Drosophila melanogaster: one gene and its partners. The protein of the gene in region 1 purifies or fractionates together with the protein of each later gene. This does not show direct contact. Each region holds a gene or a part of one and is shown on either strand. Other genes may lie near its edges.

Evidence for each region.
Region 2: the proteins of Vajk3 (region 1) and Cpr62Bc purify together in Drosophila melanogaster (affinity purification with mass spectrometry, with the first as the bait; one large-scale study listed by BioGRID). This does not show direct contact.
Region 3: the proteins of Vajk3 (region 1) and CG4962 purify together in Drosophila melanogaster (affinity purification with mass spectrometry, with the first as the bait; one large-scale study listed by BioGRID). This does not show direct contact.
Region 4: the proteins of Vajk3 (region 1) and Uxs purify together in Drosophila melanogaster (affinity purification with mass spectrometry, with the first as the bait; one large-scale study listed by BioGRID). This does not show direct contact.

Annotation. Positions count from the first base shown.
Region 1 is NT_033779.5:13,944,256-13,949,232, reverse strand, and holds Vajk3 (Vajk3), read left to right. Parts: upstream 1-1,756; 5' UTR 1,757-1,835; intron 1,836-2,105; 5' UTR 2,106-2,132; coding exon 2,133-2,144; intron 2,145-3,182; coding exon 3,183-4,004; 3' UTR 4,005-4,477; downstream 4,478-4,977.
Region 2 is NT_037436.4:1,839,289-1,844,392, reverse strand, and holds Cpr62Bc (cuticular protein 62Bc), read left to right. Parts: upstream 1-2,308; 5' UTR 2,309-2,388; coding exon 2,389-2,403; intron 2,404-2,500; coding exon 2,501-2,632; intron 2,633-3,205; coding exon 3,206-3,601; 3' UTR 3,602-4,112; downstream 4,113-5,104.
Region 3 is NT_037436.4:16,293,731-16,297,807, forward strand, and holds CG4962 (uncharacterized protein), read right to left. Parts: upstream 1,818-4,077; 5' UTR 1,754-1,817; coding exon 1,742-1,753; intron 1,679-1,741; coding exon 1,319-1,678; 3' UTR 981-1,318; downstream 1-980.
Region 4 is NT_037436.4:8,178,672-8,184,460, forward strand, and holds Uxs (UDP-xylose synthase), read left to right. Parts: upstream 1-2,251; 5' UTR 2,252-2,369; coding exon 2,370-3,012; intron 3,013-3,079; coding exon 3,080-3,261; intron 3,262-3,548; coding exon 3,549-4,049; 3' UTR 4,050-4,698; downstream 4,699-5,789. Other genes in the region: mthl7 (methuselah-like 7), read right to left, coding at 5-203, 267-441, 506-757, 819-995, 1,171-1,843; ERR (estrogen-related receptor), read right to left, coding at 4,848-5,756.

The DNA of each region.
Region 1 (4,977 bases):
TGGCTGCCAGTCGGCCGATTGGAGCGGAGTCCAACATTCAACAGGTTTCATTTTGCGCATTAACAAATAATTATGCTGGCAATTGCCAAATCACGGACTCAGCCTGGCTGATATATAATCTGATTTTGTGCAAATGCACAAGCATCTAATGCCGCTACTGCAACGGCGACCCATAAAGGCCTTTCACTTTTACGCCACAGTGCAGATCTCACGCATGGCACCCGATCCAGTCACTGTTCCAGTCACAGATCCATTTGCAATCCCCGTTGGTATTCCACTCCACAATCCCACACCCAGCGTTCCGATAATCGATTTCGAGTGCGAAACTTGAGATTCGCAGCCCACGGTTATGCACCGCATCTGTTGCATCACTTTTCACCACCCCCAATCGCAGATAGTATCTATTTTTTCCGCCCGGTGATCACTAAACCATTGTCAATGACATCAAAGATGCCGAGAAATTCCAGAGAGGCAGCTTCCGTTTTTACCTGGTTGTTGCAGGAAGTGCAAAATGGTAACCCGAGTACCCCAAAGGTGGCAAGAAAACCAGAAAGCCTAATTATGACAGCAATAGAAATTGAGACATCACACTCAAATTACTATCTTGCAACAATGTATACTGATATAAAGCAAGTAACTGGTTACAAGTACAGTGAACTTTGATAAATGTTGCTTACTACAATATCAATTACAAAATCAAAGTTTAATGTAATTAATTGCCATTTTTAAAAGATCTGAATCCGGTTAAAAATTAAATACTAAAATCCGGAAAACATTCGGTTCGCCAAATGCATACAAAATTATAAGAAACATTAATTAAGTTATAAATCAAGTTACCGTTAAATCAAGTTCTACGATATTAGATCTGCTAAGTGAATTTGAGATTTATTAAACTCAAATGAAAGAAATTGCTTTGTTACACTTTTGTTTATTGGGCCACAAAATGTTTCGAAATAAATTTTATATTGAAATTATACAAGATTAAAACCAGATTACCCCTTTGAACAATTCCAGATTTATAGACCCTTTGTTTAAAATGCGAGCCGAACGTATAAATATGATACTAATAAGCAAGTTTTTTTTTTTTTTTAATTAATGGAATCAAAACAAAATCTAGTTGAATTTCCATTAGGTAGACTCAGAATTATTGATATTAGGAATCAGGTTCGACCAAAACTGCTGACTTCTGAAACTTGACAAACAAAACATAACGACTTTGATAGACATATGACCTTTCGTTGAAATCTATATTTTTGGGAACAACTTGCTAAGAAGCCCGAAGACTTTTTATCCAAATAAAACAAAAAAAAAACAAGAAAGGATTGCTAGTACGTTCTGCGGGATTTTCCCAATATAAATTTCAATTCAAGATTTAGTTAATTTATTTTATTTGCTTTTTATGTTCCCAAATTGATTTGATCACATTTGCACCCATATTTTATAAGCCACTTTCAAGTTGGCGGCTAAAGTCACCAATACACACAGAGAAAAGCCGCAATTGCGTGAGTATTGGTGGCATGCCAGTGTATTGGTGAGCGCTTCCGCTTGCAACTTTCCGTGCCGCACTAATACACACAAATATAACCAATACAAGCGCAAACCAAGCCGAACTCAGAGCTTTGAAGAGAGCAATTAGGCTGGTTTGTGGTGGGAAAAGCTTTTGGAAACCGCTGAGCGACTTGGTTTGGCGGTGTTTTCAGTTTCGTTTTGACACAAAAACTCTTTGGGGGTATAAAAGCGCGCCACTGACCACAGACAGCATCCAGTCAAAGGTTTGGAATCGCTAGTGATTCTACAATCCTTCCACAGTCTATTTCGCTGTTACTGAGTTGCTTGTAAGTGAAGCCAAATGCCAAGTTAATTTTTGTTTGTTTCTAAAATGCGTGTAGTCTATGTGAAACGGAAATAAAGTTTAAGCTGTGATCTAAAAGTTATAAACTAATAACTGTGCGAGCCGTGTGCTCTAAATAACTTCAATTTTCCAAGGAACATTTTCCCAAAGAACAGATTGTTAATACCAATTAAAGTGCTGATCTTATAAAAAAAAAAATATCTATGCTGCATTTCGTATAAATAATCTTATTGTTTTCTTTGTTTACTTACAGCCTTGGCAAGTCCCATTAGACTCCACAATGAAAGTATTCGTAAGTACAACAGACATATAGTAATTAGACATATAGAATTTAGTTTGATATGTAAATGGGTACGAGTATGTGAACTATCGCTGTTGGTAGCATATTTTAGTGTGAGAAATCAAGTAATAATTCAAAGAATTGCATACAGAACAATGCTGACATGAACTAATTGGAACAATATAGCCTTTTGCATTGCAAATGCCTCACATTGTTTACCTGGCCATCTTCAACAACAAACAACTTCCTGAAACAATTCAATCCGATAAATTTCCTTAATCAAAGGTGAAATGCTCGCAAACGACCAAATTCAACTTGAACGACATGGCTAATAAGCGTTTATTAACTGAACGATCATAATTGGAGTGCCAGCCACGTTTATTACCAGGCCGTAATCAACTGGGTTCATGTGCTCAATTAAAGCCAGCTCCAAATGCATTCGCTGAGTTGCCCACTGCGTATGCGTAACGTGACGCCAGTCGGTTGAGGCGTATTGCGGAAACTGGGCGTGGCAGTGGGCGATGACTGCACTGCATCATTTATGCCAGGCACGCACAAATTTCACTTGACCATTTGAATCGCGAAAGAGGGCGATGAGACAACGGACGACACAATGCGAATCGGGCCACATATCGCCTATCGCCTTCGCTTTCTATTGCGATTAGGTAATCGATCAAACTAGGCAATGGGTGATAAAAGTCAACGTTTTCGTTAGGCAATTTATGTAGGTTGCATATCTTGAATTGTTTTATCATAGAGAAGCTTCAAATACTTAAAGAATAGACTATACGAATTTCATGATAGATGAGTTTGCACAGTTGAGAATTCGAAGATAGTATGACTAAATTTTATTTCATTTCATTTTGAAATAGATTTAAACTATATTTGCAAGGAATCAAGTTCTACTTACTAACTTAGTTATTGTGAAATAAACTATTAAGAAATCACAAATATCTAGAATTTTGCTAGAAAATTAATATATTATTATTATTTAAAAGTCTCTAAAATGCATAGTTTCATAACCAATCGCACCAACTCAATTCTTTGCAGATCTGCTTAGCCGCTCTGCTGGTGGCCTCCGCCTGCGCCAGCAAAACCGAGGGTGAGAAGGTGCCGCTGGAGAAGAAGCTGGACAAGCGCGGCCTGCTCGATCTGGGCTACGGCTACGGTCATGCTGGTCTGGACACCGGCTACCTGGGACATGGTTCCATCTCCGGCCACGGAAGCTACGGACATGGCTACGGACTGACCGGATACTCCGCACCCGCTGCCGTCGCCGTGGGCCACAGTGGTCCCGCGATCGCCGTTGGACACACTGCTCCCGCCGTCGCTGTCCACCACGCTCCCGCCCCCTATGTGATCAGCAAGCAGGCCGATGTGCACAAGACCATCACCATCACCAAGGGAATCCCAGTGCCCGTGCATGTGGACCGCCCCTATCCCGTCGTCCATGAGAAGCGCGTGCCCGTCGAAGTTAAGGTGCCCGTGCCCCAGCCCTACGAAGTCATCCGCAAGGTGCCCGTGACCGTTAAGGAGTACGTCAAGGTGCCCGTGCCAGTGCCCCAGCCCTACGAAGTGATCCGTCACGAGAAGGTGCCCGTCCATGTGCCCGTCGATCGCCCAGTGCCCGTTGAGGTGCCCAGGCCCTACCCCGTGCCAGTGGCCAAGCCCTACCCTGTCTACGTGGAGAAGGCCGTCAATGTCCAGGTGCCCGTGCATGTGGATCGTCCCTACCCCGTCTACGTGAAGGTGCCCGTGGTGTCCCACTCCGTGGTCAAGCACGCACCCACCGTTGCCGTCAGCAGCTACCCTGTTAGCGCCATTGGCCACGATGCCACCGTCTACTCCGACCACCATGGTTACCACAAGTAAGCGGACGGAATGGACCGGAAGCAGGCGAATCTATTGGAGCGAGCGGACTTAATGGAAATGAGCCGAAGGATATCTAGCAACATTTTCAATTATCTTCCCCACTCTCTCCACCTGTCGGCCTTCCTTTCCAAAACCGAGCGCAGAAGCAAACTCTTAAAATACCCCCTGGAAGTCAAACTTCCGCCCTGCCACACTCTCTGTAGCTGATAAGAACCCCCAAGATGAAACAAGCAATGCCTTTTGTAAATTATTTCCAATCCAGCCATCCAATGGAAGCCATTGTGCTGGGCCAAGAACTCCAGGTTTAGGATAAATACCAGCTAACTGTTTGTAAATTTCGCCATTTATGAACAGTTTAGCTGGCCAAGTTTATCAGTGAAAGGTTTCGGCGCACAATGAATTGAATGGATAATAAGAACAGAAATATCTATGTGAAAATCTATTAAGGACAAATAAAATAAAATGTATAAAATAAATTTCACTGTCTTTATCACTGGTTAGCTGCTGGAAATAGTTTGTCATAGGGTTCTTTGTAATTGTATATCTTGTAAATATATTTTGTAAATAAAGAGTATGTTGTTATTAAACAGCTGTCGTTTTTGATTTGGTGGCTACTCAACATAAATAATATTTAAAAAATGTATTTTTACTAGACTTTTTGAGGATCATTTTCTGGAATATTTACAGCTCTCTAATAATATTTATTAAATAGACGGAATGGTTCAAAAACTTTATGTTCCGATCACTTTAATAAAAAGTTATACGAAGACCCTTTAATCTTGCAAGGTAACAAGTAGGATACCAGTAATTATTTCAAGCCAAGAGATGCGAATTATGCATACCTGTAATTAAGTACAGCTTAAGTTGTAATAAATCAATAATACTCAGTCACAATAAAAACAGATGTCTTGACGCCTTCCTGATCCTTAAACCCGAAAATCCTCTCACCAGTCAGTCAGCTGAGATGACATGA
Region 2 (5,104 bases), on another chromosome or scaffold:
CTGAGTTTCAGCGGAAGGGGTGAATAATTAAATCGAAAAGGAAACGCGCAATGTGGCCAAAGAGTTTCGCATTCACGAATTCGTAATTGTCATTGTTGGGCTTAGTCTAGTCTAGTCTACTATAGTATAGTCTGTTTAAACTGGACTTGGTTCTGCCGCGGTGAGTGGCATATGATTGTTCAAGGAATTTCCACACATTTAACTAACGGGTTGGTGAATACCTAGGAAACGAAACCGCGTATCAAGGAAGTTGGTGGAACTGGTTTTGCATTGCATTGTTATATTAGAAGTTGTAATAAAATTTTGAGTGGCTTGAAACGATTGTTTATCAGGGATATTCTATCGACACAATGCGAACCACTGATCAGCCCTACCTCTTCCCAAATATGGCTCAATCTTCCATCAAAAGGCAATCAATTACAGCATTTTTGCTCGAACCCAATCGAAACCTAGTTTTTCAAAGTCTCGACTGCAAAAATTCAATTAATTGGCCACGACGGTGCGTCATTTTCCGCAAACAAAGGACGCAATCAGATCGTGCTCTAATTCAGGCAAACTCAAAGATGCAGTTTGAATATTTAGAGGGGTATATCATAAAGGGGGGATGGGAAACTTTAAAGAAATATAATTAAATTCTAAGGAAGCTCATTGTCTACTTACTTACCAACTAACCATTCCCAACTGCCCATTCTACGAAAATCAACATGTGTAAAGTAATCTGGACTAACTTTCGGATAAGTAAACCCTCTTTTTTAACTACGCCCCTGCTGAGATTAAAACTGTTAGTGATCCGTTACACGTCGTTTGCTGCTGTGTCGTGCTAACCTTGAGATGATTACTTCAATTTGTAGTACGCGATGGCCAGCCTGGCATAAATGGTGGCTCAGAGGGGGGGGGGGGGGGGGGGGCACCAAAGGGGGAATGTCAGAGCCGAGCTACTAATTCGAGACAATTTATTAAATGAGTCGAAGCAGGGCAAGTACGTAGCATAAGCCTGGCGCAAATATGCCGTAAAACAAAGCAAGGCAGCCCTCAAAAATATGACAAAACCAAACGCTTTTGCTTTTTTACTGTTCGTAGTTTTGGCCTGGTAATGAGTTGGGGCTGAACTGGCGTCTATTTTGGCCATAATGATGTGGCGCCACGCTGCGCCCCACTTCAAAGGCGTTTCTACAGCGTCTTCGGGTGGTGGCCTCCCCATAGCACACCCCTCTTGTCTTTCCCAGATGGGTTTAATAAGCAAAACGGCCTACATGGCAATTAAAAAAGTGTCAGTAGGAACAACAGTCAGTGCACTGGAAAACAATTGAAGAACAAAGCCACTTGCTGACTTTAGTTAAAAGTATTGCAAAAATATCTCAAGATTTATGGGATTTCATGAGTCAGTAGCTCGTTTTAGTGGAATGATACCACTGATGTTTTACTAAGACTTCGAAATTAATCTACAATACCTCAAACCATTTTTGGCAGTGTACTATCACATTAACCAAAAGATTTGACAGACGACGCCCGCTGCAAGCAAAATAAGGCACAGAAAACGTAGAACATAGAAAACTTCGACTTGAAGCCCACGAAACAGACGAGCGAACAAATTGCAACATGCAACAGAAAAAAACCATGGGGATTTTCAGGAGGGGGCTGCAACACCGCCGCCCACCGAAATGCAATTTTAACTTATTTCAGCCATTGTCTTTTTATTTCATAAATATTTGTGTTTACGGCTAATTTTATTCGTGCGCGAAGATTGTTTTTGCTAGGTAGTTTAGAGCTTGCAAAGGCCATTTCAATTAAATCGTGATGGGAGATGGTAATATATAGATAGCCAACTTTTTTCCGATCATGATTTCATAATTAATACGCCTTAATAATGGCCAATTTGATATGTTAATACGAGTATTGATTTCAGCAGATAGAACTCGCATTAAGTGAGGTTTTCCCTTCCATTTCACAATTATTTCGACTTCGATTTGCATACATCGCCGGTTATCTCAGAAATCAGACAATTTCCAAAGACAAACCACAGCCAGCCAACAGTCGCTCCACATCTGAACTGAACTTCACTCTCGTTTTTTTTCGCTGAAAAGCATTAAATAATTGTGAATTGTTGGTGGGGAAGGGGGGGCGTTGCAGGGGCGTTGTGGGGGCCTCAACTTCTTGGGCTTCGCTCCGCAAAGCTCGGCTTTGGCTGGTATTTCATTGTAGTTTTGTTTTTGCCCCTGCTGACCGACTGGCATTCGGCTTTTTGTGACTCGGCTCGGTTTGGGCCGCTCGGGCGTTGTCTTGTATATAAAAGCGGCTTCCTTCTTGGTTCTAGTTATCAGTTGAATCCAGCTCAACGTACAGCACACACTCGCGTCTGCAAGAAACAAAATCCCAAAAATCCAAACAATGGCATTCTTCAAAGTGAGTGAACAGGACAGCCCTGTGACAGCCAAAAGTGCCCTGTGATCCAATCGAAATAGCAAACTAATAAAACAAACCCCTATCCCCTGTGATCTAGTCCCTCATCTGCCTGGCCGTCCTGAGCGCCGCCTCCGCCGGAGTCCTCCACGGACATGGTGCTGGTCTCTACGCCGCCGCCCCGGCCATCTATGCCGGCCATGGTCACCACGACGAGGGAATCGATTACCATGTAAGTGGGCAAGATAACCCAAAAAGGATTAACTTTCAAAGTAGCGCATATGAGGATTACTAACTCTTAAAGAAAATCAATGTCCTACTATTGGAATCCATTTGACTTGTTTAAAACATACATTTTGAAAAGCTTCCTCTTAATTGAAAATGTGCATCATGAGTTTATTGCTCTTTTAAAATCAAACGACTACAATACCATCCAGAGCTAAGAAATGCATGCATCTTGACTCATAAAAATTACTTATACGACACGTAATCCCTCCCGCAAACATTACTCATACGACCTGTAAGCCCGAAAAAGTTATACAGCCTACCGGCTGTTCATGCAATCATAAAATTATACTTAATATGCCCTAAAACTGACACCATCAGTCCGCACAACCTCTCACCCACTCCTCTGTGGATGCTGGTGGCCCAGGGTCACTGTGGCATTTGCCATTTAGCCATTTTCCCACGCTAGCTTCATTAGCATGGCCAGCTGCTTCGAGTGGCGTGTGGCATGCACATAAAATTAGCACCCAATCCTAGCAGGCCCGTACTCTTCTCATGGAATCTTTACGCCAATCCGCAGGCCTACCCCAAGTACCACTACAACTACGGAGTGGCTGACTCTCACACCGGAGACGTGAAGTCGCAGCACGAAGTGCGTGATGGTGATGTCGTCAAGGGATCCTACTCTCTGGTGGAGCCCGATGGTTCGGTGCGCACCGTGGAGTACACCGCCGATGACCACAATGGCTTCAACGCCGTCGTCCACAAGACCGGCCCCACTGTGCACCACGCCGCTCCCGCTGTGGTTGCCCACGCCGCTCCCGCCGTGGTCCATGCCGCTCCGGCCTATGCCCCAGCCATTGCCCACCATGTGGCCGCCGCTCCCGCCGTGCCCTACGCCGGATCCCTGGCGCATCAGGTGCCCGCCTACGGATACGCCACCCACAACGCTCACGCGCATGTGGCCCACTACTAAGGAAGTGGAGCAGTCCGCTGGATGCACCACCTGAAGCACCACCTGCACCGCTAACACCACTCTTCTGTAATTTATTAAGCACGTTGACGACCTCACAAAACGGCTGATCGATCCACTGACGAAGCCTGCTAAAATACTCAGTACCACAGTCATGTCCATCATGTCCTGCCGTGGATTCCCCGGACTTTCCCGGCAGCCTCTGTCTCCCTCACACACACACACACACATTGCCGTCTCTGTCTCAGCTTTCGCGCAATTCTCTCTTTTGTTTGTTAATCAACCTTCTCTTTAATTGTAAATAATGAAAACATCGAGTGAGGAACAAACGCCCATCCTGCCACACGCCCACGAAGAAGAACCAACCTGAAAAGATGAAGAAAAACGAACAAAATGTAAAAAAAAATAATAAAAAAAAACACATGTATTATAATAATTTTGTGTATACTATAAGTTTGAAGCTGAAACGGCTGACAATGCTATAAATACAAAATGTAGAGAATTATAAAAATTCAAATATTTCGTTTTTTTACTGCACAGAAAGGAACTGAAAACATAGATTGATCTTTAATTTGATTATTCTGTTTTATCTTACAATTAATTAGTTGATTGGCATTTCTGATCAGAACACATTCACTTTCAAATTGATTCCAAGTATGGGTAATTATGGTTTCCATTAGTTATGAATGTTATGGAAATTGATGGGTAGAGAGCACTTCGTCGAGATCACGCCACTTGATTGACAATAATCGATCTGGCTAATTTGTGGGCGTGGAGTGAAAAAGGTGAAGGTAATCATCGGCGGTTGATTATCATTTGATCCGCCAATAACCAGTTGGTGTTTATTAACTGATTATTTATCTGCAGAAGAACTATGCCATCTGTACTCTGGCAAGACGTGCGCTTTCATAATAAGATTCGCATCAGCATTCATATGAAACTTGAAGCTTAAATATAAAACTATATATAGCCTTATGTATCTGGAATTTGCATTCATAGAGTTTTCTTAATTTCCGATTTAAGGATATTTCACCAGATGCACTACTCGAACTCATTAAATGGGCTTTCTTTAATATTATTTTGTAGAAAACTTTTGGGCATTGATTTCTTAAACAACTTTAAACTACGATTTCAAATTGATTTTTGAAGGCTTAGAAAAAAATAGATAGATGATGTGTGCTTTTTGGCTGCTATAAACAAGACTTACAGTCATAGACTACTTTCAAGCTTAATAAAAACAATATGAATGCTACAAGCAACTATGCCACTGTATTTTTTATTGAAAAGCCATTTTAAACATTTATTAAACTTTATTATTACTATTATTTTACTACTTATATTATTAGTTATTAAATTAATTATTTAGTTAGTACCTTATAGATATGTAGAATTTTTTAATAAGGGTTTCATACTAAGCATACCTTTTTATTGGCTTACAAATATACAACAATTTCCCTAGAAATGTATCCTTTCCAATAGACACTTTTTTAATAACACATAACAAGG
Region 3 (4,077 bases), on another chromosome or scaffold:
TATGATTTTCACTCGGCGAGATAACATTTATTAAGTAAAATCGTAAATTGATTTCCATTACGCCGCCGGCAAAGCGCAATACACGACTTTTCAATTTTCGCATGAATTATAGTTGGTATTTTCGGTCCAGGATCAGCTGGCCGGCGTTAAAAAGGTAATTAAGTGACTCAATTCACTTTTCAGCAGCTGTTGATGTGCTCCCATTTTTCATTTGCGAAACTGGGCGAAAAGCATTTAGCTGCGACAGTTGGCCGGCCATTAATAAAAAGATATTTCAACGCACTTTTCACTGGTCAACCTGTTGACAGGCGCACGCGTTTGTCGCTTGAGTCTTTCGTTTCCCCGCAATGATAATTGTTAGAGGAGGGGGGGGGGGTATAGTGAGCAGGTGGGCCGGGCAAGGCGTTGCAATAAAACAATTTTTTTTGGTATTTGGTTTTTTCCTTGCAAGTTTCAAAACACCCGACGGGAGTCGATATGAATCGAGCAAGTTGCTCAAGTAAAATTAATTTGAAGTGCAATTGAATGCTGAATGGCGATCGGATGGTTGGGGTAAGTTCGCAGTTGAAAATCATTGAACAAGCAGTTTTTTGTGAAATGCTCGCATCTACGAACTAGCAATACTATCTGGAATCCTTATAAATGCGAATAAAACTGATCACTTCACGCTCAACTAAACTAAATTGAAAATAATTCCACACTTCATAAATAGACATTTGTCCCCTTAACAATTAGTTTTGAGTTAAGTGGCTTACATTGCGAAATGTGTGTGTGTTAAAACGGCAAATTAAAATATTTCCACATTACTCTGAAAATTCATATTGCTTCCAAAACGTTAGGTATCGTAAAGATTTCATTGAATTGTGTGTAGTAAGGCATATTTGGATATGGATCTTAAATATCCATCCGTCATAATTTCAAGTGAATATTTTTAAACTAACATATATAAGCAACCAGTAAATGAAATAAGCCATCATATTCGTTTAAAGAGTCATTTATCGTTTATTTACAAAATGTTATGAAGCCACAATGCATGGAGTTGCACCATAATAACAAAATCAACGAAACTTGATCCTTCATCAATCTCTCTCGCTCTCGCCGCCTCCCGTTAGTTGTCCTTAGTTCTCTAGTTGTCTCTGTCTCCAAGTGGGTGTCTGGGTTTTTGAGGGATTTTGTACACAATTTGTATTTCCGCTTCTGACTACGAAATGCAAATTCAACACTTTGACGGCAGCAAAATGCGAATTATCCGCTTAATGTTCTCACTTCAATCGGGGTCGTCAACGGGGGGCTGGTATCCTTTCCGACATCCAGATCCTTAGTGCAGGTAGGCTCCGTGTCCGTAGCCGGCGTATCCCAGACCGTAGCTACCGTAGCCGCCATAGGATCCATGGTAGGTGGAGGTGGAGTGCAGAGCAGGCACGGCATGGACCAGAGGAGCGGCATGGACCACTGGAATGGCCTTGGTGGCCACCTTGTAGGTGTTGGCATAGGAGGTGGCCACCGGGTGGGCGACAATGGGAGCGGCGTAGCTCTTGATGATCGGGGCGTGCGAGATCACAGCCGGAGCGGCATAAGCCGGAGCCAAGGCGGCGCCGTATCCCAGTCCATATCCATGGCTGTAGGGCGAGATTACTCCGGCATTGGCCACGGCGCACAGGGCAGAGATGAGGGCAATCTGCGGAAAAGAAACTTCTATGTTAACTTCATACGAGCGGTAATCCTTTAATCCTGATCTTACCAGTTTGAACATTTTGCTGGTTTTGTGTTGTTTGGACTTCTTGACCGAAGAGCTGAATGTGTTATGCTTAGACGTCTCAAGTAGCCCTGTTATTTATACCCGCAACATGAGAAATATTCTGACAAATCTTGGCCCAAAGAGCGGCGGAGAGGGAGAGCCAACACGCCCCTTTCGACGGCCGAGAGCCGAAGCTTTGTGCATTTGCCGACCAGCAGATCGCGAAAGAGATCAGTCACGCGGCGGCTTTGGCTTGAGCCACTGAGCCACCGCCAATTTTAGCCACCGAATCCCCAAGATTTTCATGGAGAACCACCACGAGCACTTAATTCAATTTGTATTTTTTTCGTCAGCTATTGTCGGCGACTTTTGCTCTAACGGAAACTTTTATATTTCCATTCATTTCGTCGTGGAAATGAACAATTGTCTTCTGGGGGTTTCCAGCTGAGAAAATTCTACGGCTAAATCTGGTTTTGCCTATTAGTAATTTTGCAATTATTCCAGTGATCTAAATTGGCCATTAAGTAACATTTCCTTTGAAAGAGCACTTAAATTTATCTATGAATATTGTGTTTTATTCAAAACCGTTGAATTCACGTGTTCAAATTATTTAAATATAAGCCTGCAAGCCTATTAAGCATATCTGCCTAAATCCTTTCTAAAACCGAAAACACGCACTTTATTATCAATCAGCTGACTGACTGACTGACAGCTCATTAGAGATATAGAGATCCGTAGGTGTGGAAAATGTTGTTGTCCAGATGCAAATGATCAATCGGAGCTGCCTCTCCACGCAGCAAATAAACTCAAGTGGTCCATGAAAAATTACTCACTTTAATAACTGACAAACACAGAGTGGAGATTGGTGCAGTTGGTCATTTTGGTGGCTGCTGGACGGCAGCTGGTTTGCCTATATTTTGCATGCATTAATATTTAACTGATTTGTTATCGCGCACATGGCGTATGCGTAACTTGGGTGGAAGGAGCGTAGTCAATTGGAAACATAGGTAAATCATATTTGCCGCATTTCGAATGGCCTGCCAGATTTCCTAATAGCCATGCTTAATTCTGAAACAGCTTTGAAATCATATCACGGGATCAGTCAGAACACGAGGCTCGAAAAGAATTGCAAAATGCTTGTTTTGAGCCTTGAATATCGGTGTATTGAATCAAAGAGTTGTATAAAAATCGAAATTCTCTCAGGGCGAACAAAGACCGACTTAAAGTTTATGAGTCATAAATTAATAAACAATTACGATGGCGACAATTCTTTCGACTCAGCGACCCTGGCCATCGTTGCTGATTGGACCCCAAATGGACAATCTGCATATCAACGGGGCTTAGTGCTAGTCGAATCTAAAACTAAGCCGAACCCTTCACCAAAGCCAACACCTCGTGATTTCGACCCGTGGCGTTATGCAAATGCTAACCAAATTGTCGCATAAATCTCAATCGAAGGCGGCTTGATTGACACCAAACAGGATGCCAAATTGCGTGGCTATCTATCGATCCGCAGCTACAAAACCAAATATGCCACCCACTCGGTTGTTTTGGATTTTTGGTTTTATTCGTGCTGGTTCCGATTGCAGCTGACCACCAAACTCTGGTGGCCTGTAATTGCATTTTAATGGCCTACCAATTGCATTCTGTTTGTCTGCTAGCCATTGAGCAACGTCCATCCAATGCATACATTCGATTTTGATTCAGATTCGCATTTCCCAAGCGACGCCCAAAATACTTTGATTGCCAACAAATCATTCAAAAGTCGAAATTAAAAGCCGTCAATTTTCCAACTCAACTCGTGGCTCAACTCAATATTTTTTCCTTTCGTGATTTATGCGATTTTTCTGGGGAAATAGTCGGACCTGAAATTTGTCCGCCCCATTCTGGTTAAGGAAATTTCCCAAGTCGCAAGTCTGGAGTTCGCAAATGGAGCAGAGGTGACTAGTTCGACTTACATGCATTTGATTAGACCAGCTTGTGACCGCAATGAGTTATTATATATTTTTTGTTATAGTTTAACATAATTGTCGGTTGGGTGGAGGCCAATTTGCATAGCTGACTCCCTCCCATCTGCGGATCGCTGGCTGTGACTCGAGTGTGGCCAATTAAGTATTAAGTATACCACATGTTGGACGCCACTCGGTCAAGGCCGTGCTTACCCCAGCCTTTGTCACAATGTCGTGCACATTACAATGTGTACAGCAAAGCCTGACTATTACTCGTTTTATAATGATTAATACCAAGAGGAACAGCGACAACAGCCAAGTGCAAAACTGTAACAATGGCTGGCAAAAATCACATTTGCGTTTACTTAATTACCCTGGAAAACCCTCAGC
Region 4 (5,789 bases), on another chromosome or scaffold:
AAGCTTAAGAATCCATCATTAGAGTCCATGTGCTGCGCTTCAGGACGAGCAGAACGAACAAAACAATTCCAAACGCGCTGTGAAAATACTCGGATATTATCCCGACCCATTCCCAGAAAATGTGGAGCCGTGCAGAATACGGAATGACATTGAATATCCAAGTAAGGCCCATCACGATGGAGAGCCGCAGGAACTGTAGGTAACTATGTGGATAATACGGCAAGGATAACTAGTTTACCAAGGTCCAAGGTTTTATCATATCTTACGTCTGGCTGTCAAAGTTTATGCAGTTAATCCTTCCCTCCTCCTCATTTGTGAACTTATTTATACCCCCCTTCACTTTCCTAATGTAAATGGCTGTCAGGGCGAACATGGCGACATTGAAAGTGCTCAGGGCCAGCGACGGTCCACTTATATAGATCCAGACGGATGGGTGCCAATCTGATATGGAAAAGCAATACGTAACCATGGTAACGATTTAAAAGCAATCGCATTGAAAGTTTACCTTTGACCGAGCACCGAATAAAACCGACCAGAGGCAACCAGTTCCATTTACTGGGATCGTTTTCCCAAATCTGATTAACTATATAAATACTTCCCGTCATGATTGCGGCTGTGCTCCAGACGAAGGCGTTGTACCGCAGGAACCGATAGTTAGGGTCGACTCGATTGAGCGACGTCAAGACTTTCCACGTATGGTAGCTGATGACGGAGAGCCAGAGGTTGGAAGCCATCCGGAAAAAGTGCGAGCTGTAACCTGCAAGAAGTCAACGATATAACATTTAAAGCTTCCAGAGATATCTCCAATTCGAACTAACCAGCTGGAGAGCAAATGCCATTCAATAGATTTAAATGATCTAGTATCATGATCAAGCACTGGATAAACCTCGAAACTATACAGCATACAATGCACTTGCCAGTAACATTTCGCAGCTTCTTAATGTATAGATATACTGCGATTGTTAGGACAAAGCATATCATTGTTATAATTAGAACTGAAAAAGAAAATATAAGAAATAAAAAACCAGCTTATTGTAATTAAAAAACTTGCAAAGGGCACACAGAATGCAGTCAGCAGTTTGCACACCAATAAGGAGTTATTTTCGTTTCTTTCTATATAGCTATGAAAACGATATTGATGACTTTTGTTATAAATAATAATTGAATTACTCTCTAAGGATCCAGGAGATATGTGGCTTGTGCAGCGGTGTCGTATTATCCACATGGACTTTGGAAAATCCGAATCAAAGTTGTGCCGGTACAAGCAGTAGTCCTGTTTTTCCATGAAGAGGTCAACGGTAACCCAAAATTTTCCATCCTGGAACCAAACTATAAGTCCACATTTATTGAAGATTTGAATGCTAACCTCTTCTAAGAAATAGTTAAAGTCGCTGATGTAAATCATTTCATCACAATCAAAGAACTCATCTCTGATAATAGCCATATCGGTGAGTGGTACTCGTGCCTGTAGGTCCATGTATGTGAAGTATATATAGGGTTTGAACCGGGCGAGCTCCTCTTTGAGACCATCATCGCATTTTCCGTTGGCCAAAAAGTTCTTGGCTGGGCAGCAGATTCGAATACAGGGCCGCACGCTGCAAACACAGGCCCTTAAATGCTTTTCAATCGGCGTAATCGAACCGTCCCCAAACTGCCTGAACTCGTAGTATCCAGTTAAGCTAGCAGGAATTTCGATGTCATCATATAAATACGAATCGTTTTGCCTTTCAATGTATGAGATATCAACCGTGTCGTAGTAGTTGCACCCGGGAATATCTGCATTTGAGTTGTTCGTAAAAATTAAAAGCAGAACTGTACAGAAAATCACCCAAGGAAGCCTCATGCTGAGCACTACAACACTTGGCACTAAGAACTTTGCCCGACTGGCGATCGATGCTCATCGTTGGCAGTTTAAATAGCCTTCAATAGCCGTTTGGGCAAACACTTTATTCGGAAAGTAGTCCCTGCTGACCAGCCTAAGAAAGCCCTCAAACAAATTTAGTTTTCAAACTCATTTTTTGGCAATTTCCGACCTTTTATCGTTAAAACGAAAAATATTCGTCCCTGGGGAAGATCACCAACAAAAATGTCTAATTCATTATCAATTCATTATAATTTATAATCCAAAATCAAAATGTTCGCCTGTCGATACTTTTGATGTAAATTTTAAAATTAGGCGGGAGCTTTTCCCTGGCGTTAGATTATTAATCCATTTAGAAATTCCGTTTGAGCCATCTGGCCACTCTGGCACCTCCTGATAACGCAATTGTATTGTTTATATAGTTTCTAAAGCCGAACGAGAATGCAATGTGGCGATATCAGTTGCTGATAAGCACTGGAACCCTGCAGTACACAACCCATAACCGACGATGACTGCCACCAAAAAGCGTCTGAAGATCGTTGCAGCCATCTCGCTGCTCCTCCTGCTCCTGGTCTACCTTTACCGAATGGCCAGCTTCTGCCCAAGCGGAAAGGTCGCCGTTTCCGTTCCCGGCGTCGAGGAGGTTCAGGCCAAATGGCCGCCCACGGAAAGTCCGCTACAAAGGAGCCTTCAGATGGCGTACGAGGAGCAGAGCTCTCTTATTCGAGAACAAAAGGCCGAACTCCAGCGCACAAGGGAGAATTTGGCCAGATTGGAGGAACAAGTTCGTAGCCTCCAGACCAGCACACCGCGCAAGTATCCGAAGGTTAAATACCTGAACTATAAGAATCGCAAACGCATACTAATTACCGGAGGAGCTGGCTTCGTGGGCTCCCACTTGGTCGACGATCTGATGGTCCAGGGGCACGAGGTCATCGTGGTGGACAATTTCTTTACGGGACGCAAGCGAAATGTCGAGCACTGGCTGGGGCACGAGAACTTCGAGCTCATCCACCACGACATAGTGAATCCGCTTTTCATCGAGATCGATGAGATCTACCACTTGGCATCGCCAGCCTCGCCACCGCATTACATGTACAATCCGGTGAAGACCATCAAGACCAACACCATGGGCACGATCAATGTACTGGGTAAATATTTATAATATCAATCAAAGAAAATAAGGATTACACCTAACGAGTATATCTTTTTTGAAAGGTCTGGCCAAGCGCGTGATGGCCAAGGTTTTGATAGCTAGCACTTCGGAAGTGTACGGCGATCCCACAGTGCATCCGCAGCCAGAAACATACTGGGGACATGTAAACCCTATTGGACCGAGAGCCTGTTATGACGAGGGAAAGCGTGTCTCCGAGACGCTGAGCTATGCGTATGCCAAACAGGTAATACCTTTAGCAATATATATACTTTTTTGGATAACCACATTCCTAAGCCAGATCGAAAAAAAAACATTAAACTAGCTGAGATCCAGAAATGTGGCAGATTTTTCCTGTTTCGATCGCTAGTTGAGCATTAAATGATCTCAATTGGAATGCTATTAATTGATGTTCCGCTCGGTTGGCTGACGCGAGATAAGATTTCCAAGCGCGAGCACTGACCACATTTTTTGATCTTGGCCAGCAATCTGGGAGTCAAATTAATTGCTCTTTAAATGTATCTGTATCGACAGGAGAAAGTGCAAGTCCGAGTGGCGCGCATCTTTAACACTTATGGACCGAGAATGCATATGAACGATGGACGAGTGGTGTCAAACTTTATACTTCAGGCGCTGAGGAATGAAACCATTACGGTGTATGGAAATGGCAAACAAACGCGCTCCTTTCAGTATGTTTCGGATCTGGTGGACGGAATGATAGCCCTAATGGCATCCAACTACACACAGCCGGTGAATTTAGGCAATCCTGTGGAGCAGACAATCGGCGAATTTGCCGAGATCATCAAGAAACTGGTCGGCGGGCCCAGTGTGATAAAGCAATCGAAGGCCATGGAAGATGATCCGCAGCGCAGAAAACCGGACATAACTCGAGCCCGCCAGTTGCTCCATTGGGAGCCAAAGGTTCCCCTAGAGACTGGACTTCAGCGGACCATCTCCTACTTCCGCAACGAATTGGCGCGTAGCGATCGCTTTCAGGAAAGCTCCAACAAGTACTTTGATACACATACACCGTAGAATTAATTGGGCTTAGCTCTAATTGGTGATGATGGAACGTCTCTAGTCTGCAAATGTAAATATGACCATCGTTAGCACTAATTGTAAGCCCTCAAGGACCACAGAATACCTTTGTCATGGTTAATTTTTTGAAGTTTTGCGATATATCAGCCTATGTATGGATTAGGAAATAGTGATGTATAAATGCGATCAAATGCACTGAATTCTAGAAAACTAATTTGAATTTGTTTAGGAAAAGAAAATCCCCAAAGAATACAGAACTTAGGGAGTATGGAAACAACAGTTACAAACGGTTTATTATTCACGGACGACATTGCTATTCTTTTGACCGCATGTGTACCACATAGACACAGAATCACTGGGTTACATGACACTTAGAAACAGTATAATCCATTGTATTGTAGAACCACTATCGTATTTTAAAAGTGCCCACAAATTCATACGTTACATCAGAAGGTTGCGGCATATACATATATCAGAACCAGTGAGAATTGAACAAATTATTGAAGATCTGTGACTCACAACTTTAGACACATAACACCTATATGCGCCTTTAACCAGTGTAAGCACACCCCGATTCTAGAAGATAAGTAGGGTTTTCCAGTTGCTGTAGTTGGTAGTCCATTAAAAGAGATTTTTTCTGCGAACTAATCTTACCCGACAAGTATTTTACTATTTATATACATGGCTTATCCTACGCTTAATCTACTCTAGTATACATCCATATATACCTAAGACTATATTTGCACCTTTGCTTATCAGCTAGATCAACTAGTTTGGGCGCCCGCATAATCCTTTTCACCTGGCCAGCGGCTCGAGCATCTCGAGGAACAGTTTCTTCATGGTAATGACTTCATCGCGTGCAATTCCACGCCAAAATCTTCGCAGGATATCATCCGCCTGCCGCAGCGAAGGCAGCAAAAGCAGCAATTGTTGCTGATGCGACACGGCCGACGAATGACGCAGCAAGTAGACCACATCGTTTAGAGAATTAAGAATCGTATCACGAAATGCGCGCAGGGAACTCTGATCATCCAGCAGAATGTCGCAGTTGGCCAGCAGGAGCGCCTTTAGCAAGTAGTACTCCTCCCTTCGTGGCGATATTCTTTCCATGCGCTGTGCGATCTGGACGCAGTGGTAGTAGAACTCCGTGTAACCGCACTCCTTGGCCAAATGTTCATCCATCCAGACATCCGTGGCGAAGCATAACTTGCCATTGAACGGTAGGGACCGGAAGGTCAGCTGGAGCGTCAGGATCTCTGCCCACGACACCTGGAGAAGCTTCATCTGGTCGTTAAGTGGCAGATCTATAAAGCCAGGTATCTGCTTGGCCCAGCCAATGACGCTGACCAATTCCTTGTCGTAAATATCACTAAGGACGCTTAGTATCTCATTGGGATCATTGTTGTTGTTGTTTTGGAAAATGCAAGTCCCATTGGGCGTAACAACGCTGGACTCCAGTTTTATGCTGCCCGAGGAGGATGAGGCCTCATCATTAGTTATGCTAGTCGTGTGGACTTGCGGCGGCGGCGTTTGGACGCTCAAGGCATCCGGCTCATATGAATTGAGCACCTCCAGTATCTTGACATCGCACAGCGAGGTGGTGTTGGATTGGTATAGCAGCTGCATAGTCTGGTAAGAGTTTGATACAGGATTCCTTCGGTACTTCTGCCGTCCTCCACGAACTCGATCCAAGCGCACACCCTCCTGAAAAGTTAAAGCGATTAGAGTTTAGGAACT